6 linked regions of the Callithrix jacchus genome follow. The protein of the gene in region 6 purifies or fractionates together with the protein of the main gene of each other region. This does not show direct contact. Links are inferred from orthologs where the notes say so. Each region holds a gene or a part of one and is shown on either strand. Other genes may lie near its edges. The genes, in order: ERF, DUSP9, DUSP4, HMMR, STAT3 and MAPK1.

The links.
Region 1: the proteins of MAPK1 (region 6) and ERF purify together in Homo sapiens (co-immunoprecipitation; 3 studies listed by BioGRID and IntAct, with this or other methods). This does not show direct contact. The link is inferred for Callithrix jacchus from reciprocal best matches to the Homo sapiens genes MAPK1 and ERF.
Region 2: the proteins of MAPK1 (region 6) and DUSP9 purify together in Homo sapiens (affinity purification with mass spectrometry; 5 studies listed by BioGRID and IntAct, with this or other methods). This does not show direct contact. The link is inferred for Callithrix jacchus from reciprocal best matches to the Homo sapiens genes MAPK1 and DUSP9.
Region 3: the proteins of MAPK1 (region 6) and DUSP4 purify together in Homo sapiens (affinity purification with mass spectrometry; 6 studies listed by BioGRID and IntAct, with this or other methods). This does not show direct contact. The link is inferred for Callithrix jacchus from reciprocal best matches to the Homo sapiens genes MAPK1 and DUSP4.
Region 4: the proteins of MAPK1 (region 6) and HMMR purify together in Homo sapiens (affinity purification with mass spectrometry; 4 studies listed by BioGRID and IntAct, with this or other methods). This does not show direct contact. The link is inferred for Callithrix jacchus from reciprocal best matches to the Homo sapiens genes MAPK1 and HMMR.
Region 5: the proteins of MAPK1 (region 6) and STAT3 purify together in Homo sapiens (affinity purification with western blotting; 3 studies listed by BioGRID and IntAct, with this or other methods). This does not show direct contact. The link is inferred for Callithrix jacchus from reciprocal best matches to the Homo sapiens genes MAPK1 and STAT3.

What each region holds. Positions count from the first base shown.
Region 1 is NC_133523.1:37,282,179-37,286,302, forward strand, and holds the start of ERF (ETS domain-containing transcription factor ERF), read right to left. Parts: upstream 2,801-4,124; 5' UTR 2,671-2,800; coding exon 2,649-2,670; intron 1-2,648. UniProt on the Homo sapiens protein: Potent transcriptional repressor that binds to the H1 element of the Ets2 promoter. May regulate other genes involved in cellular proliferation.
Region 2 is NC_133524.1:149,571,772-149,575,050, reverse strand, and holds part of DUSP9 (dual specificity protein phosphatase 9), read right to left. Parts: intron 1,596-3,279; exon of another isoform or gene 1,404-1,595; intron 933-1,403; 5' UTR 898-932; coding exon 525-897; intron 1-524. UniProt on the Homo sapiens protein: Inactivates MAP kinases. Has a specificity for the ERK family.
Region 3 is NC_133514.1:30,456,591-30,460,734, reverse strand, and holds the start of DUSP4 (dual specificity protein phosphatase 4), read left to right. Parts: upstream 1-1,344; 5' UTR 1,345-1,748; coding exon 1,749-2,181; intron 2,182-4,144. UniProt on the Homo sapiens protein: Regulates mitogenic signal transduction by dephosphorylating both Thr and Tyr residues on MAP kinases ERK1 and ERK2.
Region 4 is NC_133503.1:26,272,623-26,276,122, forward strand, and holds part of HMMR (hyaluronan mediated motility receptor), read left to right. Parts: intron 1-874; coding exon 875-1,021; intron 1,022-1,526; coding exon 1,527-1,679; intron 1,680-1,772; coding exon 1,773-1,872; intron 1,873-2,565; coding exon 2,566-2,742; intron 2,743-3,500. UniProt on the Homo sapiens protein: Receptor for hyaluronic acid (HA). Involved in cell motility. When hyaluronan binds to HMMR, the phosphorylation of a number of proteins, including PTK2/FAK1 occurs.
Region 5 is NC_133506.1:121,751,031-121,754,530, reverse strand, and holds part of STAT3 (signal transducer and activator of transcription 3), read left to right. Parts: intron 1-1,590; coding exon 1,591-1,643; intron 1,644-1,859; coding exon 1,860-1,954; intron 1,955-2,066; coding exon 2,067-2,206; intron 2,207-2,682; coding exon 2,683-2,895; intron 2,896-3,500. UniProt on the Homo sapiens protein: Signal transducer and transcription activator that mediates cellular responses to interleukins, KITLG/SCF, LEP and other growth factors. Once activated, recruits coactivators, such as NCOA1 or MED1, to the promoter region of the target gene.
Region 6 is NC_133502.1:193,829,249-193,833,399, forward strand, and holds the start of MAPK1 (mitogen-activated protein kinase 1), read right to left. Parts: upstream 2,801-4,151; 5' UTR 2,589-2,800; coding exon 2,470-2,588; intron 1-2,469. UniProt on the Homo sapiens protein: Serine/threonine kinase which acts as an essential component of the MAP kinase signal transduction pathway. MAPK1/ERK2 and MAPK3/ERK1 are the 2 MAPKs which play an important role in the MAPK/ERK cascade.

The sequences.
Region 1 (4,124 bases), on a different chromosome or scaffold from region 6:
GGGTAGGGGATGTACTGACTTCCACCCTCCCCCCAAAATTAAAGCCACCCTTCCCAGCCCACCCGCCCCAGCCTCCGTGTCCCGGTAACCAGGCAACGTGTGTGCAGCGACAGTCCTGGGAGCGGGGGAGCAGGAGGCTAAAAATAAACTTTGCAGAAGAGAGGGAGTGAGAGAGACTACATGCAACACAAAGGGAACTCGGAAAGGAGGTGGGGGGGCTCTGGAAAGGCCTCAAGCCGCATTCTGGGAGCTGTCCCAGGCCCCCTTGTTAAACCCCTTCCCTGAGTAACCCCTCCTCCAGGGTCTGGACCCTGGCTCCCACTCCTGGCAGGGACCCTTCCCCACTCCCAGGCCCACCCCAAGGATGGCTTTCCTAATCGGACACAGCATACATGAGGGCCTGTTCCTGGCTTTGGGGGGGAGAATGAAGAGGGGGTGACGTCAGGGTGTCTCAATGGGGCTCTGTTCCCCAGGCCCTGGAGCCAGGAGCCAGGCACGGGCAAGGGGAGCATGTGTGAGTGTGTTGTGTATGCGTCCACGTGCTTAAAACAGGGAAACACCAGACCTGCACAGAGGAAGCTTGGGGGTGTGGGACCTCAGGAATATGGGGGCCAGTGAGGCAGGGAGAGAGCAGACACATAGAGAGAGGGGTTCACAAGACTGCGAGGCAGGGTGCAGAGTGGCAGCAGACAGACAGGAAGGGCTGGGATGGCGAGGTCCCGGAAGCACACCTGGGTCCCACAGAGGCGGGGTAGGGATTCTCCCAGACAGACTGCAAGCCTGGGGGGACAAAACTCCTGGGCACCCCCCCAACCTCACGTGACAGCCCAAACTTTTTTTAAGGGACCATGAGGGTCGGAAGGGAGGAGTGATGGTAGAGGAACAACACGCCGGCCTCCTGGGGGGCCCCACTACCTCCCCCACTTCAGGCAGCCCTCTGTGGCGCCAGAGCCGGGAAGAAAACAGGAAGTGGGAAACAGCCACGGCAGAGGAGAGAGGGGCCGGGATGGAGGATCGGATGGAGGGGTGCGGAGCGGCAGGCCAGGAGGCAGATGGAAAGATGCACCGATTGGAGGCCATTCCAGGCCTCCTGCCCCTCTTCTCCCCCCCGCCGGAGAACCCACACACTGCTCGGCCCTCAGACGGGGTTGGGGAAGCAACCAGCGGGTCCCATCAGGCCAAGGCCGGTAGCAGGGAGGGAAGATGAGGCGGGGTTGTCTAGGCGCCTCGGCCTCCTCTTCGGACCAGAGGAGGCTCCTGCTGCCCCCGGGGCCCAGCGGCCCAGGAGCGAGTGGAAGCTGGGGGAGTCTGTGGGACGCACGTGACTGACCCTACAGCACTCCGCACCCCGGCCCCACCTCCAGGGCCCCTCCTCGATCCCAATCCCCTGCCCTTTAAGATTAAGCCTCCCCCACCCGCCGAGCAGGGGGATGGAGATGGGGTGGGGATGGGGTGGGGTGGGGTGGGGATGGGGTGGGGTGGGGTGGGGTGGGTGGGCCGGTCGGGGCATACACCCGCACACTGGAGCCCGAGCCGCCGCCGCCGCCGCCGCCGCCGGGGGAAGGAAACAAGTTTGAACAGCGGCGCCCGGCCCCCTTCCCCCTCCCCCGTCCCCGCCCCGGGCCGGATTCCGACGGGGTAGACGGGCAGGGGGCGGCTGGGACCCCTCCCCCTGCGCGCTTGGGCGCAAAGTCCAGCCCGCGCGAGCCCGGGGGCGGCGGGGGAGGGGAGGGGGAAAAGTCCGAGTGGGAGGGGGGTTAATCCCGCTGCCCCCCGTCCGCCGACCGAGGGGGAGGGGAACCTTGGCCCCTTAAGGAGGAGCAAGTTGGCGGGGAAGAGAGGGGCGGAGGGAAGAGACGGCCCGCTGAAAGAGAAGAGCTGGATCCGGGAGGGGGGATAAGGGGGGAGCCTCTGCGTCTCCCCCCACCTTTTCCACCCTCCACTACCCCGGAGCCCCGGTGGTGCGGAAGGAGGGTACCCAGGTCTCCCCGGAGCCACCTTAAAGCCGCGCGTTCTAAGGTCGGAAACAAAAAGTTCCTTTTTCGAACGTTCGGGCTGCGCTTTGGAACTTTGCGACTCGGCGAGGGCGGGGGAGCGAGGAGCCGACTGAGGCGGGCGGGGGAGGGGCGGCGCAGCCCGGACCCCGAGTCTCGGGCTCCCCACTCACGCCCTCCTCCTAGAGGCCATCCCGTATCCTCCGCTAACCTGGTGCGGGGCACGCGCTGCGGTGAAGGTCACCAGCCGGACCGCGAAGCGCAGAACCAGGGATAGCGGGCCCAGTGGACGAGCCCCCCCCCCGCCCGCACACGTCCCGGCCCCCAGAGTGCAACGTGACAAGAGCGGAGGGGAAGGACCCCGCCACCCCCGTGATCCCAGGAGTGGGAGAGAGCCCAGCCTGCGGGGTCCCGGTAGGGATATAGGACCAAGATCCGCAGCAACCACACCACTCTGCCCAGAGCCAGGAATCGGGGGTCCCAGGCAGCAACCCCGCTCGCGCCACGAGAAGCAACAGGTCTCGAGTGCTTGAGGGGTCCCCCAGAACTGGGGAATCACTCGGGCTCCCCTGGACCCCTCAGCCCCCCCAAAGTTTCTCCGTTCGATTTCCTGGGGCAACAAGTCTCCCCCACACGTGCTGCCCCCGCCCCCACCTGTGTCCGCCGGGGTCTTCATGCTTGGGGGCCCGGGGCGAAGCGCCCCGACTCCGGGCCGCGGCTCCCGGCGCCCGCGCTGCCCCGTCCCGTCCCGCGCCCGTCGGGCCGCCCTTGCCGCCTCACCCGGCCTCGCCTCTCAGAGCCTCTCCCCTCCCCGCCGCCGCCTCCCGGGTTAATATCGCACTCCGGGGCCGGGACGCCCACGCCCCCCGGCCGGCGACGTCACCGCCGCGTCGCCATGGAGACATTGCGCCCGCCCCCTCCCCGCGCACTCACACACACGCTCTCCGGCGCTCAGCCACTGAGGACCGGCCGGCTCTGCGCTTAAAGGGGCCGCGCAGCGGGGGAGGGAGGAAGGAGGGGGCGGGGGTGGGATGGGGTCCCGTAGGTCGTGACCCTAGTCCGAGGCTCCAAGTCTGCAGATAACTTAAGTCCTCGGCACTCGCTACCTGCTGCCCCTCCTCCTCTCCTGCCCACTGCGGGCACGAGAGTTTCTTTTGGGTGCCTGTATGGAAAAACGGGGGGCCCTTCCGAGGAAATGGGGTTCAGAAACTTTTGTGGGGAGGGGGCAGAATCTTCCCTGCAGAGGGGCGGGGTCAGGCCCTTGGAGGACAGCATTTCCCAGCTTAGTTTTACCCAGCCCCCCAACCCTGAGCCTGAATGGGGGCAGCTGTCCAGGGGTGGGGTGGAATGGGTGGGATGCATTTCCCAGCCACGGAAATGGGGAGGCGGCTGTGCCCTCCGCTCCTGTGGGGATGGGGTCTTGTCCTTCCTGATAGCCCCAGTCCAGCTGAGGAGGAAGTGACCAGAGAATGCATTTGGAAGCCCCCACCGCCACCGTGCCCAGGCTGCAGCTGTCCCGGGGACAGAGCTGGCGCCGGAGGTCCCCCCACCTCCACCATTAGGACCGGGGGTTCCGGAGGCGGGGCCAGGATATGAGGGGGCGACCAAAGTCTGAACAAATGTGCTCCCAAAGGGCACTGAGGGTCGCCAGGAAAGAGGAAGACAGGGCTTAAGATCGAAAGCCAGCGCGTAGGGAAGCGTTAAGTCTCCGTTCTTTGCTTCAGTCGGGAGGGAAGGATGAAGCCTGAGGCTCTGGGAAACAGGAAATCACTGTGCAGATCTGATGGAGCCTGGGAGCCGGCAGCACGGTAGAGGCCAAATAGAAGCAATATTCACAAGCACAGCCTGGAAACAGGGTCTCAAAAAAGACTCTGAGGTTCCAAAGGAGGGGCGTATGGGTGGCGGGCGGATCTGAGGGGCGGGGGTGTGGGGGCGACAAATCCAGAAGATGGGCGGGGAGACACAGACAAGTCACAGATAGGGAAGGCCTGCGGAGCTCAGGCTCCCGGTAACTAGGGTTTCAATCCCAGCCTCCTCGCCTCCTTCCTTGCGGGGTACCTAGTCCGCCTTAGGCGCCTCACCGGTGCCTCAAAAAGAAGTCTCAGGCCTCCTCCTCCCTGGTGAGACCAG
Region 2 (3,279 bases), on a different chromosome or scaffold from region 6:
GAAGTGGGACCCCAAGATGTGGGGAGCTTGGGGGAGAATGTAACATTCCACCAGAATGGCTGTAAAGTCCCAAGAACCCAGCACCTCTGTTTACAGATACTACTCTTTTCCCAGGCTGGAAAGCTGACACTTTATATGTCCCTAATACAGTCCAGTGGACCTTTCTTGGCGACGGCTGGCTCTGGATTCATGAGAACACTGTCTCTGCCCTGGGCCTGTTCCCCCCAGTCTCCCTCCCCGTCCCTGCTGTTCTTTGCGGAACCCGAGCTTTGTACTTCCCTTTCGAGCATCCTGGGAACTAGCTCAGGTCAGGCCAACCCCCCATTTTCCAGACTCAGAGACTGGGGCTTCGGAGAGTGAAGAACCTGCTGGAGGTCATACTTGGGGCTCCCCTCCTCTCAGAGCAGCCTGGCAGGTCATCAGGGGAGGGGGGCCTCAACCCGCTTTGGAAAACAAGAGGTTGGGCTGGCCTAAGGTCAAAGGAATCCCGAACCCCCTGGAAAGGAGGGCCCCGCGGCACCTACCCTGGAGGTAGTAGGCCAGGTAGCCTTCCTCCCGCAGCTTCTGCAGCAGGGTACCCAGCACCGACTCGGCTTCCCACTCCTCAGTTTCAGCCTCGGCCTCTCCGCACCGGCGCCGGCCCCCACCCTGGTCGTACAGGAGAACGGGGGCAGGCGGGGGCGGCTGGAGCGGAGGTCCGGGCAGGAGCGCGCGCACCGACAGGCTGCCCCTCCGCAGGCGGCGCAGCAGCAGCGCGGGAAGGGCCACGCTCAGCGCCCCACCGATGCGCGCGGACTCGTACAGCTCGCGACTGCGGCAGTCCAGGAGCAGCAGCTGCGGCCGCGGGGGCGACAGCTCCCGGCGCAGCCACAGGCACGAGCGCCCCAGTCCCTCCATCGGCGCTCGGCTTCTGACACGTCGGGCCACGGGCACTATGGAGAGAGGGAAGGCGCAGTGTGAGCTCCCGGCGGGCCGAGGGCGTCCAGAAGGCGGGAGCCCAGGGCCCCCCAACGCGAGGATTCCCAATAAGGTGCCCCAAGAAAACCCCCGAGGCGGCCGCTCAGCACGGGGAAAGGTCCTCCAGAAAAGGGTTGAGCATCTAACCGCCCCTTCGAGGCTCATCTTGGGGTACCCCGAGGCCGCAGCGGTCTACCTCCATACCCCCTTTCTGCTCCTCTTTCTCGGCCTGCCCGCGATCGCTCCCCAAGTTCCAGCTTCCGACTTTGCTGGGTGGGGGTGTGAGTGTGAGGGGTGCTTTTCAAGACCCAGATCTCCCCCACGGCCAGGTGGGCCAGGGAAACAGGCGGAGCAGAGGTGCTGGGCCTCAGCGAGTCCTCTCAGAGGTGACCTAGCCCCGGTCACCATCTCCCCCCACCCTCAGGAGAGAACAAAAGGAGAGAGACCTGGAGCGCGATCCGGCGGTAGGCGACTGCGCGTGGACGTTCTGGCCACGGCCACTGCCACGGCGGAACGCGGTGCGCCGTCCCGGGGCAGGGAGTCCCTAGGCCCGGCCGCTAGGAGAAGGCGGGGCGGCGGTGCAGGCTCGCACGTGGAAGCCGAGCAGCTTCCTGGCAGCTGGACCCAGCTTCCACCTTGGAGACAGCCTTGGGACGTGGAGTTACAACTCCGAGGGGCGGGCCGGGGCGGGGCTGCGGGGGCGGGCCTGGGCGCCGGTGAGCCAACGGGTGCTAGCCGAAGGAAGCAGTCGGGTGGGACCTGCGAGTCGGCTGAGCTGGGGCTTCCACCGAGGCGGGACGGGGTCGGGGCAGAGGCCAAGGGCAGGTCAGGGGCCCAGCAGGGGACCAGCTGCGGCTCCCCTGGCCGGCGCCAGCCTGGCCTCGGGAGGCAGGGGGAGGGGTGGGGACAAGAGCCCAGCCCCCCTGTCGCAGAAGCTGCCTTCAACTCAACTCACTCGGTGATACTGGACCATCTTCTCCCCTGCCTGGATCTCAGTGGCACCATCTCTGTAATGGACTTATAGCTACCAGCTTGGCCAAAGGTGGGATGCCACTGAAATCGCCCAGGGGAGGAGGAAGCAGGATCAGAAACTTTCTGCAGCTTTGGCCCAGAGCACCTCCCACCCCAGCAGGCTTCACTCACACAGCACTGGCCAAAAGTACCCAGGAGCCCTGAGCTCCCAGCCCTAAACTGATCCTAAGAGTGACCCCTGGCTCTCCCCTTGGCTGATCAAAGTGGAGAGAAGTAGTTTCCAGCTAAATCTCTCTCACATCCATGCCTCTGTCCCCTGTCCCCTATCCTAGCCAAGGGCTCAAATTCATCAGCTCTAGGCCAGGTCACTGTCACGTCTTGCACAACAGTCTCCCAGCCTCCAGGCCTGCAACGACCTGCCCTCCACCCTGCCCTGCCCTGCCCAATGTCAGAATGCCATCCACTCAACCAAGGCTGGTGGCCTCCATCCTTTCCTCCATGGGCACAATAGGCAGGGCAGATCCATAGGCAGCCAGGGCACTGCACAAGGTCTCAGGTGTGGTGAGCGCTGAGATAGGAGACCAGGTCAGGGGGAGGTGTCCACAACACTGGTCTGGCTAAAAGTCCCTTTTCTGCTTAAAGCCCAACAAAAGCAAATAACAGTGTTGAAGGAAAATGTACAATAGATAAGATAAAGCTCATACCCAACCAAAAGGTTAAGACCCCTGTAGATAAATGGGCAAAGAACCTGAAAACACTGCACACTGCAGGAAGGAGGGAATGCGGCGGCCTTACAAATATTTGGGGGAAGGTTCAAGCTCAGGCGTGGAAGGAAAGCAACTCCAAAAAACAAGTAACAATGACCAACGAGGTAACACTTTCCACCTTCTGTGCTAGAAATGTCCTCATGTTTGAGAACACCCAGTGCCGGCAAAATTGCTGTGAAATCAACGTGCTGTTCAACGGTTGCAGGGTATATATTGGCATAGCCCTTTTGGAAATTAATCTGGCAATATCAAGAGCTAGGAAAAAATCCCAACCCTTTGACCACTTTGGGGAATCTAAGGAACTAAAGTAAAAGAAATCAAAGTTACACACATTCTCTAAGGAGTGGAAAATGGAAAGCGCACTGCGAGTCCCACAGTGGGAATCATTACGGAGTCAGAGGAGCAAATGTCTGAGGTCACGGTTACGGAAGAGGGCAGGTGATGGAAAGCTGGGAGTGGGGTGGGTGAGTGTGAGGGGTGCCGTTCGAGGCCTAGATCTTCCCCACGGCCAGATGGAGATCTCTAAGGGGCTTCCAGTTTCCCCTCCCCCTCCCTTCTGGGCAGTGGGCTGCTAGCCGGGACT
Region 3 (4,144 bases), on a different chromosome or scaffold from region 6:
TACGCTACTCCGCAGCCTCCGAGACTGCGAGCGAGTCCTGTAACTTCCTTGCTCTGTGATTAATTCTCACTAACAAGACTTGGCAAGATGTCGGGCGAATGATTTTTGGCTTCTGCACGGTCCCCATCGTGTGCGTGCACAAACCCCCAGCCAAATGCCGCCTCTGGGAAATTAAATGCAAAAGAGAAATGGGGATGGGGAGGGCTGCCACGTGACCTGGAAAAAGGGATGCTCGGAAACCTGAATCGGGCCCAGAGCTGCTGAAGTTCTTTTAAAAGGTCATTCTTCCCGGGTACATTTCTCCATACCAAATGTGGACCCTGTCATTTCCTGAAAGGATAATTCACAACCATGCCAGATAGGGTGAAGACATCCCCCAAGCCCGAAAACCTTATTTTTCTCCCGACCAGGGTTAAATAAACATCTTTTAGGAGGCGGGGACAGGAGTGCAGCCTGTTCTCCTCCCTCCGCACACCATTCCGGCAATTAATGCCTCCCTATGGGTCGTAAAGCCACAAACCCCACACCTCACTCCGATCCTGGGCTTCGGGCGGGAGGACTTGCTCTTTCATCTTCTAAGCAGGGGGGTTGCCCACGTTCCTGGGGAAGCTATAAAACTGATTTAATGGCTTTAGATGAAAATCGATCACGCTAATGCATACGCAACGTCTCAGGAATGGCATTTTCAGAAAGGACTGGCCGGGCCGAAAGCGCACAGGGAGTCTGGGGCTAGGAGGTGCAGGACCTGCCGGGTGGGCAGCGGCGCTCCAGTCCCCTCTCCTTGGGTACCGGGGAGAGACTGCGGGGCTGTCACGCGGTGAAGCGCGAAGGTGCAAACGGATGAAAGCTCAAACCCGAGCCCCGGCCTCCTCGGCTGGCTATTTCCCTTGGCGCCGCCAGCCGAGCGGCGGCACAGGTGCGGGTGTCGGGCTGAAGGCGCAGCGGAGGCCGGGCCTGCCAGCGGACAGCGAAAAGGCGCCGCGCGCTCCATTCACAAAGTCCCCGCGCTGCCTGCAGCTCGCGGCGGGTCGGAGGCCGCCTCCCTCTTCCTCTCGGTCTCGGTTTTATGAATGGGCCTGACGGCGAGCACCCGGCGCCCTGTTTACTCCGCTCTTTGTGACGTCGAGTTCCCGTGACCGGGAGCGAGCGGCCGCGCTCCATTCAAGCTCCAGGGAGGAGGCGGGAGGAGGGGCCCGGAGGGAGCTGGGAGTCAGCGCAGGGGGCGGGGAAGGGCGCGGGGCCCGGAATGGAACGGGGCGGGGCCTGGCGGGGTAGTACTGAGCGCCCCCTCCCCCGGGAGCGCGGAGGAGCATTAATAAATCTCTAAGCCGAGGAGGAAACTCTGGCTGGGGCAGTGCGCGGAGCGCCGGGGAAGCGTGGGGAGCCGCAGCGCCGGCGCCGGTGGCGATAGGAGCAGCGCGACCCGCAAAAATACACAAGAGGCGGCGGCCGAAGAGAGTCCGCGGTCCTCTCCCGTAAACACACTCCCCTCCAGCGCCGCCTCCCCCTCCGCGCCGGGCGCTGTCCGGCTGGGCGCCCGAGGCCGCTGTGACTGCTATGTGACCGCGAGGCTGCGGGAGGAAGGGGACGGAGAGAAGAGACTCGCCCTCGGGAGCGCCAGGGGACCACGTTTGCGGCCACTTCAGCAGGCGTCCCCGCGTAGCCCGCGCCCGCTCCTTCCTGCAGACTAGGCGGCCCGGGTGCTCTTCTCTTCCTCGAGCGCCCAGCCGCCTCGGTTCCCGGCGACCATGGTGACGATGGAGGAGCTGCGGGAGATGGACTGCAGTGTGCTCAAAAGGCTGATGAACCGGGACGAGAACGGCGGCGGCGCAGGCGGCAGCGGCAGTCACAGCGCCCTGGGGCTGCCGAGCGGTGGCAAGTGCCTGCTGCTGGACTGCAGACCGTTCCTGGCGCACAGCGCGGGCTACATCCGAGGCTCGGTCAATGTGCGCTGCAACACCATCGTGCGGCGGCGGGCTAAGGGCTCTGTGAGCCTGGAGCAGATCCTGCCCGCCGAAGAGGAGGTGCGCGCTCGCTTGCGCTCCGGCCTCTACTCAGCGGTCATCGTCTACGACGAACGCAGCCCGCGCGCCGAGAGCCTCCGCGAGGACAGCACCGTGTCGCTGGTGGTGCAGGCTCTGCGCCGCAACGCCGAGCGCACCGATATCTGCCTGCTCAAAGGTAAGCGCGGGCTCCGGGCGCGAGCTGGAGGGAGATGGAGGAGGTCGATGGAGGAGGTCTTGGCGGCCTGCGCCTTAGTGGCAAGGAAAGGAGTCCCCTGCGTGATTCGTGGTTGCGGGGATCCCCGCGCGCCCCTTTGTGCTTGTTCGTGTGTACGGGCTTGCAAGGTTTCTATGCAAGTGCGAGCTTCAAGTACTCAGGGACAGTGCGGGCGGGTTCCCCCGGTCACCTGCAATTCCGCACTGTCCTAGCGAAGCCCCGTTTATTGACACTAAAGGTCCTGGCCTCGAGGGTGAAGCGACTCTTCTGCGCCGCCCATCACGAGTCCCGGGAAGTGTTCTCAAGTACCACGGGGCGCTTGGGAACAAGATAGGCCTATCGGTTTGGCATACCGGGACCCTGCACTAAACCCGACCGGGAAAATCCGAGAGGTAGGGAAAAGGGTGAAGGCGGGTGGGCGCCGAGGTACAATCAGCCCTGCCAGTTTCACTGAAAACAAGAGCCTGGCAAATGCAGAAAGGGAGATTGGGTTGCACACACTGTGTAGAGCGATCTGTATCTGCTTTCCCGCTGCCCAACTCCGAGCTCCGCTTGGAAGGTGGCCAATCTCGGTCCGGGGCTAGCTGCAGGCTCTGGGAGCAGGAGGCTGTAGGACGGTATATCTGGGGGACGCCAGGCGGAATCCGTCCTCTAGCTCCTGCAAATCTGGGCAGCCCAGAATGACCACCTTTTGTTCAGTCGGATTTGCGACTATCTGATGGCGGCGCGTGCCGGATTTAAGCGAGCCCTGGCGAAACTTGGCGACCTGGCTGTCTTGTCACATTTGGTAGTCGGATATCCCGAAAAAATCGCGTGCTGTCCGAGTTCCTGAAGGGAATGGGCGCCTGCCTCACCTGCAGGACCAGGTGTGTCCGCGGCTGTCGGGCTGGGGAGCGGGCAGGGCGCGTGGGGTCCGGGCGCCCTCTGCTGCGCTGCGCCCCCGCCTCCCGCCGCCGCATTCCGAGCATTCTTTCGCGCGGGTCGGGTCTGGGATTCCAAGCCCGGGAGGCGGTTCAGACTCCCCCCTCCATCAAAGAGCCGCACCTCCCCCCGCAGGCGCCCCCGCCCCCTCCCTCCTTTCTTTTCCTTTCCTTTCCTTTCCTTTCCTTTCCTTTCCTTTCCTTTCCTTTCCTTTCCTTTCCTTTCCTTTCCTTTCCTTTCTTTCCTTTCCTTTCCTTTCCTTTCTCCTTTCCTTTCCTTTCCTTTCCTTTTTCCTTTTTCCTTTCCGGACCTGTCCACTGGGGAGGAAGGGAGCTGGAGGAGGGCGGAAATCTCTCCCCTCCAAAAAGCACAACAAAACTGCTCAGTGCTGAAGAGTCGGGTTCGCCCCTGCCGAACAGCGGGGGGCTTTGTTCTCGGCAGTTGTTTCCTGCCCATTTGACCTGTCAGCTGCTAGGGAAACGCTGCTGTTGACCTTTGGTTGAACTGCTAAGGCGATTTTGCTGATTTTTCTTTCTTTTTCCGCGAGAGCCGCTCTGCCCCTCCACTTGAGCCCAGTCCTCCTCCCTTCTCCCCAAAGCGCTCCAGGAGAAAGTGCCAGGAAGGGGCATGTCCCGGAAAGCCTGGCCGCTGAGCGGGACCAGGTCCTGCTTAGGCCACCAGGGTGGGCGTCCGCGCCATTGTTTGAGCTGGTCGGCGCTGGTGGCAGAGATGAAGGCAATTCCTCGGGGACCCAAGTCCCTTCGAGTGACCGGGGCTGGCCGGGATGTTCCTCGAACTGCTTTGCCTTCAACTCCCCCCATAGAGAGCGCGGGCACAAACACCTTCCTTCGCTGGCCTCCGAGCCCAGGACCCGCGAGAACACAGCAGGGCTGGGGCCATGCTCCAGCCCCACGTGGAGTCTGGGTTTGTTTTGTTGTGTTTTGCTTTCCTTCCTGGAAGAAATCCGCAGGGGACCGCCCTAGAGCGGCAGCTCCGGGACCTC
Region 4 (3,500 bases), on a different chromosome or scaffold from region 6:
CACCTACTTGACATCTTCAAGTATATATTAAATATTAACCTATCCAAAGCAGCTTGATCTTTCTGTTTTTCCCCGGCCCTAATCAATCTTCCTCATAGCTCAAGTGAGCTACGCACTTACTTACAACTTACTTAGATACCTTTTTATTTCATTTATTTATTTATTTATTTTCTGAGATGGAGTTTCACTCTTGTTGCCCAGGCTGGAGTGCAATGGCGCGATCTTGGCTCATTGCAACCTCCACCCGCTGGGTTCAAGTTATTTTGCTGCCTCAGCCTCCTGAGTAGCTGAGATTAGAGGCATCTGTCACCATACCCAACTAATTTTTTGTGTTTTAGTAGAGACGGGATTTCACCATGTTGGTCAGGCTGGTCTCGAACTCCTAACCTGAGGTGATGCAACTGCCTTGGCCTCCCAGAGTGCTGGGATTACAGACAGGAGCCACCGTGCCCGGCCTGCTTAGACACCTTTAATGGTTCCCCTCCTTCCCCCACCGTACCTTGCAGTGATGACCGTCATGCCACCATCTTCGACTCCAGCCTTTCTTACTCATTAAGCTCTAGTGTCACATCTTATTTTTTGATTTTGAATAATTTTCATGTTTGATAGTTATTTTCTTTTCCATCTCTGTATGCATACTTCCTGCACATAGGAGGCACTCGATTATTTTTTCTTTGAATACACAGCAGATACCATGTAAACACATTAGTACTTACCTCAGAACACTGAATTCTTACCTGTGTTAAATGCATGACCACAATAAAAACTTTTTAGTTTTACCTTAAAGTATATACAATGTAAACCCATAAGTTATGATTGTCATACACCTTAGTTAGAAAACTACTTTGACTTTTTTTTTTTTCTTTTTAATAAGCTATAAAGCATTAACAGCCAGTGAGATTGAAGATCTTAAGCTGCAGAACTCATCATTACAGGAAAAATTGGCCAAGGCTGGAAAAAATGCAGATGATATTCAGGGTCAGATATTGGCAACCGAGAGTTCAAATCAAGAATATGCAAGGTAAGTAGAACAAATCATGGCCTTAGAACCGTTAAGACAACTTCATGTTGAAAGCGAGCTGGTAACTTGCTTTCTTCCGTCTTATATTGCAAATTGAGAACTTAGTTAAAAAATGGTACTTCTTGTAATCCCAGCACTTTGGGAGGCCGAAGCGGATGGATCACAAGGTCAACAGATCGAGACCATCCCGGTCAACATGGTGAAACCCTGTCTCTACTAAAATTACAAAAAATTAGCTGGGCATGGTGGCGCATGCCTGTAATCCCAGCTACTCAGGAGGCTGAGGCAGGAGAATTGCCGGAACCCAGGGGGCGGAGGTTGCGGTGAGCCGATATGGAGCCATTGCACTCCAGCCTGGGTAACGAGCGAAACTCCGTCTCAAAAAAAAAAAAAAAAAAAAAAAAAAGGTACTTCTTGAAGAGTTTCTTCAATTAAAAAAAAAAAAGGAAAAATGAATGAAAATGGCTATAAAATGTTTAGTGAACTCTTCTCTCTCAAACCAAAGGATGCTTCTAGATCTGCAGACCAAGTCAGCACTAAAAGAAAGAGAAATTAAAGAAATCACAGTTTCTTCTTTTCAAAAAATAACTGATTTGCAGAACCAACTCCAGCAACAAGAGGAAGATTTTAGAAAACAACTGGAAGATGAGGAAGCAAGGTACTCTATGATTAGAGCCGGAGTGCCTGTAACTGAGTTACGATGCTATGTTTTAAATAACTACGTTTTTCTCAATTTAATTTTTCCATGCAGAAAAGCTGGAAAAGAAAATAAAATGGCACAATTAACTGAAGAAATTAACAAGTGGCGTCTCCTTTACGAAGAACTGTATAATAAAGTAAAACCTTTCCAGGTTTGTCAGTTAGGAGTTAAACTTACTTGTGTTTATTTTAGGAATTCACTTTTTTCCTGTTACTGTCCATGACTCAGGATTTCTGCCAGATCATTTTGCTCTGCATTTACAGCGCAAGTTTAGCTTACTATTAAAGGTTTATACATTTTATTAAATTCTTATGCAGAATTTTTTCCCACATTATTGAAGTATAATTGACAAATTTAATTGACAGAGTTTTCAATGGACCCTTTATGGTTTTAATAAAAAAACATTGTAATGAGGAACTTAAAGTTTGGCAGAGAGCTTGCCTGGTATGGGCTTTTGATAATTAACCTATTTTAATTTGCGATATGATTTATCTCATCGCAAATACTCATTGTTTCTCAATACACTGATGTTTTAAGAGAAAAAAAGGATAAGTGCTGATCTTGGAACGTGGATTGAAGTACAGTATTGGTTATAATGTGGTGATCCAACTGATACAGATAAAGCTGGCCAGCTGGCTTTTTTTCCTTGTTTCTTTTCCTCTGGTTTAATTACCTTTCAAATGAAAAACACAAAAGTTTAAAAGATTTTCATAGAGTATCTCTGGAGAGTTCTGAGAATATGTAAACATACCCTGTTTCTATTTCTGTAGTGTTTATGGTTTATATGAAACTGGTAAGATCAAACTGTTTTAAGTCTTAACTTTATTTACAAAATCTTTTTTAGCTACAATTAGATGCTTTTGAAGCAGAAAAACAGGCATTGTTGAATGAACGTGGTGCTGCTCAGGAAGAGCTAGATAAAATAAGAGATTCATATGCTGAATTATTGGGTCATCGGAATTTAAAACAAAAAATCAAGCATGTCGTGAAGTTGAAAGATGAAAATAGCCAACTCAAATCGGTTTGTAAAATGACATTTCATTTTATTAAAGATATTGGAGTGGGGCTATTCTAACTGTAATACTTAAAATGAAAATCAGAAAAAAGTAGCAGTTTATAGATGAAAATTGATCTGTGATTTTAGTTGACTTATTTTGGAGTGTTGACCAGATGGTTGTCATTCCATGTTCTAAAATTTTCCAGCTACCTTCTTAATATATTGTAAATTGCTAGAGTAATTGGATGAATTCATTCAGCTTTACATATCTATTTCTGTTTGCAAAACTGCAAACTCCTTGACGTAAAACCATAAAGACAAGCAGTGTTCAAAAATAGTTGGACATTTAAATTTTTTGATATGTATTGAGATGTAATTGACATCTTATACAATTCACCCATGGAAAGTGGACAATTCAGTGATATTTTGTATACTCACAGATTTGTGCAACCATCACCATAGTCAATTTTAGGACATTTTCATCACCTCAAAATGAAACCCTGTTATCCTTTTCCTAACACCCTCCTATCTCCTCATCCTACCCCACCTTTCAGCGCTAAGCAACCACTAATCTACTTTCTGTCTCTATTGATTTTACTGTTGTAGACATGACATATTCATGGATTCAAATAATATGTGGCCTTTTGTTACTGGCTTCTTTCCATCAATTAGCATAATATTTTCAAGGTTCATTCATGTTGTAGCATGGACAGTACTTTTTTAATTGATTGATAATTTATTATGTGGGTATACCACATTTTATTCATTTGTCAGTTGGTAAA
Region 5 (3,500 bases), on a different chromosome or scaffold from region 6:
GAAAAGGGATCTGTCCATTTTCATGCTGTGGGTGATAAAAAAGAAAAAAAAAAGAATCAAAAAAGGAAAATGGATCTGGCCTATAGGGCTGCTCATTTGGGCCATGTCTACTGATCATTAGGTCATGTTTCCTGAGCAAGGCACTGTGCTGGGGCCAGGAAACAGGGCCTCCATCAGGTTGGGGAGTCGGGGTGCAGAGGCAGTATGTAGTCAGGGTGATAATTTTTGAGGTAGGAGGTAGATTTCTTTTCTCCTGGTTGCTATCTCACTCAACCCTTCCAGGGTACCACCCCATCTAACCTTAGAAGAGCTTCTTTTTTTTTTTTTTTTAAAGACGGGATTTCACCATGTTAGTCAGGCTGGTCTTGAACTCCCGACCTCAGGTGATCAGCCCAACTTGGCCTCCAAAGTGCTTGGATTACAGATGTAAGCCACCACGCCCGGCCTAGAAGATCTTTTAAGTGTGTTTTGGAGGGTAGAGCTAAAGGCTTGATATTCCCGGTCCATTTCTTCTTTTTTTTTTTTTCCCTTGTTCCCTATGCATTCCTTTAATCAACTATAGGCCAGTTTTTTTATGGGTTTTCTTTGAGATAGAGTCTTGCTCTGTTACCTGGCTGGAGTGCAGTGGCACGATCTCGGCTCACTGCAACCTCCACCTCCCGGGTTCAAGTGATTCTCCTCCCTCAGCCTCCTGCATGGCTCAGACTACAGGCATGCGCCCCCACACCAGGCTAATTTTGTATTTTTACTAGAGATGGTGTTTCACTGTGTTGGTCAGGATGGTCTCTATCTCTTGACCTCATGATTCGCCCACCTCTTCCTCCCAAAGTGCTGGGATTATAGGCATGGGCCACCGTGCCCAGCCGACTATTGGCTAGTTTTTAAAAAAGAGTTAGTGGAATATTTTATGTGTTGCCTGGGCTAGAAGTAGCTTTATCCTAATAAAGCTGTTGCCACCAAATACACCTGTCTGACACCAGATATCAGCTTGTTAGTGAGTGCTGCTGCTGGTCCCCAGCCCACCACCCAAGGCTACAAAGAACAGGGGCACTTGTTACATCACCCTCTGTCCCTGCTGGGCTACCCAGCAACAAAGATGGGTCAGATAATGGCAGTGTGTTTGTCCTCATTGTGTGCACACAGACAACAGCGGCCACCTTTTAATATGTGAACGCCAGTGGTTTCATGGCCCATTGTGGGACCAATGTGTGTGTGTTCCGTTTTAAGAAATAACACCAGCTGGGCTTGGTGGCTCATGCCTGTAATTCCAGCACTTTGGGAGGCTGAGGTGGGCGGATCACAAGGTCAAGATATCGAGACCATGCTGGCCAACATGGTGAAACCCCATCTCTACTAAAATAATAAAAATTAGCCGGGTGTGGTGATGCATGCCTATAGTCCCAGCCACTCAGGAGGCTAGGGAGGAGAATCACTTGAACCCAGGAGGCAGGAGGTTGCAGTGAGCTGAGATTGCGCCTCTGCATTCCAGCCTGATGTCAGAGCAAGACTCTGTCTCAAAAAAAAAAAAGAAAGAACATCTTGACCCCCAACCTCAAAATGTACTACTTGATTCTTTTTCTTTTCCTTCAGGACCTGGTGTGAATTATTCAGGGTGTCAGATCACATGGGCTAAGTTTTGCAAAGTAAGCAATCTTGTTAAATCCTTGTGGGAATGGGAGTACTAACCTGCATGGCTGTTGTGGAGGGCTCTGGCTTGAAGGCCTGAACTCTTGGTCCAGCAGCCAGTAGGACCTGCCAGCAGGTAGACGGGCCTGAGGATTTGGGTGGTGCACTGTGCCCCAGGAAGGGAAAGGCTGGGGTGGCGGTAGACTTGGCTTTCCCGTTATTCTTTTCTCCAGGAAAACATGGCTGGCAAGGGCTTCTCCTTCTGGGTCTGGCTGGACAATATCATTGACCTTGTGAAAAAGTACATCCTGGCCCTTTGGAACGAAGGGTAGGTCGGACAGAGTGTGCACAGGTGTAACCAAGTCCCCTGCTCTCTGCAAGCCAGTGGCAGTGGATGGCTGCCCTGTTAGCAATAACAACACCATTCCTCTTGGCTTCAGGTACATCATGGGCTTTATCAGTAAGGAGAGGGAGCGGGCCATCCTAAGCACCAAGCCTCCAGGCACCTTCCTGCTAAGGTTCAGTGAAAGCAGCAAAGAAGGCGGCGTCACTTTCACTTGGGTGGAGAAGGACATCAGCGGTAAGTGAGGCTCCCACCCACCTCATCACCGCTGCTAGTTCCAGGCACCTACTGCCCCCTGGTGGGTGGAGATGGCCCGACTCCCTGCCTGACTCAGACACTTTTGGGTGACTTCTAAGTCCTCCCAGCTGAAGCATTGATTGGTTTGCTTTTGTTTTGCTTCCTCCAGTGGCTATTGGTTGAGAAATTTGCAGTTTAAATTTTATTCTTCATCCCTTTTCCTACTTATCCTGTTAATATATCTTACACAAGTAGTTCTATTCAAGTTTATTGCCTTTGACCTAGCTGGTAGCCTCTTCTAAATTAGAAGCCAGCCTGAAACATTTCCACAGTACCAGGTCACTGGACAGGAGATTCAGGGTCTCAACACTGGGGTGGCTTACGTCTTCTCCCTTGGAGGAAATAAAAATGGGCTCTTTCTCTGAGATTACCTAGCTGTAGGTTCCATGATCTTTCCTTCCCACATCCCATAACAGGTAAGACTCAGATCCAGTCGGTGGAACCATACACCAAGCAGCAGCTGAACAACATGTCATTTGCTGAAATCATCATGGGCTATAAGATCATGGATGCTACCAATATCCTGGTGTCTCCGCTGGTCTATCTCTACCCTGACATTCCCAAGGAGGAGGCATTCGGAAAGTATTGTCGGCCAGAGAGCCAGGAGCATCCTGAAGCTGACCCAGGTAGTTGTTGATTTTCCATGTTCCTGGCATTTAATATTTGGGAAAAGTTGGAAATGTCAGGATCCTCGGAGGATAGACAGGCAAATGCCTGAATAACCTGGGGGATCATTATTTCTCCTTATGGGAATGCACTGTAATGAGTGCTTTTCTGGGGGTGACCGATGGGATTTGGGAGGAGAATCAGAATCACTTAGACTAGTGCAGCCCCTGCTTCACGAGAGTTCACTAGTCTTAAGAGGGGATACAGCCCCTCTTTATACGTAGAAAGGAGCAACCAGTATTAGCCTTTCTAAAAACATACCAAAAAGTAAAGAGCATCAACGTAAAGAAGAATTTATATAAACGAATGGATAAAATAGCCAGTTAACATCCAATGGCAGTAACCCTAAATTTAAGTCGACTAAATCCCCCAAACAAAAGATACAGCCAAAACCTAACGTATGCTGCATCCAGATCCATTCACATCCAAAGATACACAAAGACTCAAAACAAAGGGATGGAGAAAGACTTACCAACCAAATGGAGAGCATAAATAAATAAATAAATAGCAGGAGTTGCAGTTCTCGCATCTGATAAAATAGATTTCAAAGCAACAAAGATATAGTGGT
Region 6 (4,151 bases):
ATAGGGTATGTCATCAACCTGATAAAAGGCTATAATTTGAATCTAGGATTCAAATACCCAATTATATTTGCATTTGTGTTTTAGTTAGAAAGGAAAATCATAATAAGAGGACCTAGCATTCAAACGGAGAGTCAGAAGGTCAAACGAGCCTACAGCAGTTGACAGAATTAGTTCCCAGATCTAAACTTCAGACTAGTAAAAACCTTATCAGATAGGGGAAACCTTATCAGATGGGGGTATCTTTTCAAGTGATGTGTCCTAAACTTAAAAGACTTTTTTCAGTCCACATTTTAGATAAGTTAATTTTGTTAAAAGGGCCAAAGGACATGATGGGAAATTCTGAGCCTCTCATAATGAGACACGTTCACGGGCACACTTCCCAGTGAGTGCAACAACAGTGAGATGTATGGTACAGAAATGATGTTATTGGCAATACTTCCTCTCCATTACTTTTTAGGGCCTTATTTCTTTTTTGTGTGTGTGAGACGGAGTTTCGCTCTTGTTACCCAGGCTGGAGTACAATGGCACGATCTCGGCTCACTGCAACCTCCGCCTCCTGGGTTCAGGCAATTCTCCTGCCTCAGCCTCCTGAGTAGCTGGGATTACAGGCACGCGCCACCATGCCCAGCTAATTTTTTTGTATTTTTAGTAGAGACGGGATTTCACCATGTTGACCAGGATGGTCTCGATCTCTTGACCTTGTGATCCACCCCCCTCAGCCTCCCAAAGTGCTGGGATTACAGGCTTGAGCCACCCCGCCTGGCTTTAGGGCCTTATTTCTTTTAGGCTCGACCTAATTTAAATTCTCTCTTGGCTCCTAAACCTGTGAGTTCATGTTAATTTTTACAATTGTATTCAGCATTTTGCGCCTAAATAAAGTGAAAATACTGTAATCCCAGCTACTCAGGAGGCTGAGGCAGAAGAATCACTTGAACCTGGGAGGCAGAGGTTGCAGTAAGCAGAGATCTTGACACTGCACTCCAGCCTGGGCAACAGAGCGAGACTCCATCTCAAAAAAAAAAAAGTGAAAATATGAAAGATTCAATTAAAGTCTCTTTAAAAAAATTTTAAGTAATCTTTCTATCTAGCTGCAATACTTGGCAAAACATGCCTTCTATTGCATTTCTAAAATTATGACGATTGAAATCTGAATACACTTCTGAAATAGACTTACATTTACTTTATAACAGTGAAATACACAAAATTCTGCAATTATTAATTACCCTAAGGAAAGCAGGGTGTTTTCCTAAAAACAGCTGAAAAGAGGTGTGGTGTGTGAAGTAGAATCTCACTCTACAATCTTAAGAATAACTCTTTAGTTCTATTACCTCATCCTGAACTTCACCTCAAAATACTTTATCACCTGAAATACCTTCTCACCTGAAAAAAGGAATAACACCATCTTTTCCTCCTTCAATGTGGCTGTTCAAATAAAATGAAATCATGTATGTTGCACAGTACCTACCATGAAGTGCTCAATAAAATATCGGTTTAATTCCTTCGGTCAACACAAAAGACACTGTGATTTAAGGGAATCTACTTCCACAAGTCTTCACCAGCACAAAATGTTACAGCTAGTTTGCTCTAATAAAAACAATACAGTCACCATCACTTCACTTTTCTAAGGGACCTAAATCAAGATGAGGGAGCCTACATGTGATTTTGCAAAAACTCCAGAAAGGCTGCATACTTATTGACCACTAAAGTCCACAGCAATTGGGCTAAAACATCTGGGAGCATTTATGCTGGTAAAAGAGCTCACTAGGGGACTAAAAAAAAAAAAAAAGTCAAATTAGGCCCAACTCTAAACGGATCTTTAATAAATCAAGAAACTGAGGCTGAGTTAACCTTCCTGAAACGCCAATAGTGTGATATTAAAATCCACTTTAAAGTAAAAACTTCAAGACGGAAATAACACTGCTGTCAGCAATGCATTTTATAAAGCCTGCGCGCAGACCACCATTAGCACCGCTGAGGATATTTAATCAAAGCCGTTGGCTGCAAAGGCGAGTAGAAAAAAAATGACTATTTTGGTGTTCTGCACACACGCGGAGACAAATCGCTTTCAGGACCTCAGCAGCCGCCGCCAACACCGACAAGCATCTGATGGAATTCCCAGTTTACAATCAAGCAAGCCATGATGTTAGCAAATTGAGGAGTGGGGGCGCTTCCGTTGCCTTCCCGAGGGTCCAGACTTTAAAGGCCGCGTTGCGCCCTGGGCCCGAGACCCAGCCTCCGGCCTCCGGCCTCCGCCCCCCACGCCACTCCCTGCGCCCCTTCCCGAGCGACCGCGGGCCCGGGTCTCAATCGGCCCGGGGCACCGCCCGAGTCCCGGCGCGCGGACCGCGGTGAAGTCCGGGTTCGAGGTCGCCGCGGCTGCCGAGGCCGAGGCACGGGCGAGGCCGAGGCTGCGTCCGCCGCGGCCCCCGGTGGTGGGGAGGTCGGGCGTGGCCAGGCACGGACACTCACCACACCATGCCGTAGGCGCCCTCGCCGATGTACGAGAGGTTGGTGTAGCGCGGCCCCACGTCGAACACCTGCCCGCGGACCATCTCCGGGCCCGCGCCCGCCGCCGCCGCCGCCGCCATGTTGGTTGCCGGGCCGCCGCCGCCTCCGCCGCACTGGACTCGACGCTCCGCGGCCGCCGCTCGGCTCCTGTCGCCCCTCCCGAAGGGACCGCGCCGCCGCCGGAGCAGCCGCCGCCGCTGACCGGGAGGAGGAAGGAAGACGCCGGGGGGGAGACCTGAAGAGCCCACAGCCGCTCGAGCCGACTGCCTGCCTGCCTGCCTGCCAGACAGACGGGCGGGCGGAGGGAGGGGCGCGCGCCGAGGAGAGTGCCGGGGAGGGGGCCAAGCAACGTGCGTGCAGATTGGTTCTTCGTGGATGGGGCGGGGCCAGGCGGGCCGGCGGAAGCGACGGGCTCGGGGTGGGGCACTGCGGCTGCGTTGACTGAGGGGCCACCCCCGGGCGTGGTCACGTGTATTCGCGGGGTCGGAGGCGCGGGACTCGGCTCTTGAGAGACTCAGGGAGACAGACGTGGGGCAGAACCTATGGGACTGAAGTGACATGTGGCCGGGGCCCGCGCCGGAGCAGGGTCCTAACAGAACCAGCGAGGGCTCGGAGCTGTGCCTGAGGCTTGACGACGCGCCGTAGCCCGGCGGCGCCACAGCTCAGGCCTCTGCTAATCCGTGGCCCACACGCTGATAAACTAAGAGGCGTTGGCACTGGGGCAGAAACCGAAAGACATGACCCAGACTGAGAAAGATATTTCCATACTGAGAAAGTGAGAAGCACAATTGTCTAGATTAAAAGGAGACACTGAGAGGATAGGAGAATCAGAGCTTAGCTCAGATGTTTGTTGACCACACTCTATGTTCCTGGGGATCCACCCTCATAGAAGTTACATTTTAGAGAGAGGAGACATTTATTTATTTATTTATTTATTTATTAGAGACAGCGTTTATTTATTTACTTGTTTGTTTTTAATTAATTTATTTTTTAGAGACAGCGTTTCACCATGTTGGTCCGGCTGCTGTCGAACTCCCGACCTCAAGTGATCCGCCTGCCTCAGCCTCCCAAAGTGCTGGGATGACAGGCATGAGCCACGGCGCCCGGCCAGACAAATACATTTAATACTCAAGCTGTGGTAAGTACTGTGAAGAAATATAAAGCAGAAGGGAGGGCGCGGTGGCTCTCACCTATCATCCCAGTACTTTGGGAGGCCTCGGCGGGCGGATCACTTGAGGTCAGGAGTTTGAGAGCCAGGTCTCCACTAAAAATACAAAAATTAAAGGCAGGCACGGTGGCTCACGCCTGTCATCCCAGCACTTTGGGAGGCCGAGGTGGGCAGATCACGAGGTCAGGAGTCCAAGACCAGCCTGGACAATATGGTGAAACCCCGTCTCTATTAAAATATAAAAACTAGCCAGGCGAGGTGGTGAATGCCTGTAATCCCAGCTACTTGAAAGGCTGAGGCAGGAGAATTGCTTGAACCCGGGAGGCAGAGGTTGCAGTGTGCTGAGATCTCACTACTGCACTCCAGCCTGGGCAACAGAGCAAAGACTCCGTAGGAGGTGGGGTGGAGAGAAGTTATCGAGGCGAGGTGGCAGGCACTTATAATCCCAGCTACTTTTGAGGCTGAGGCAGGACAA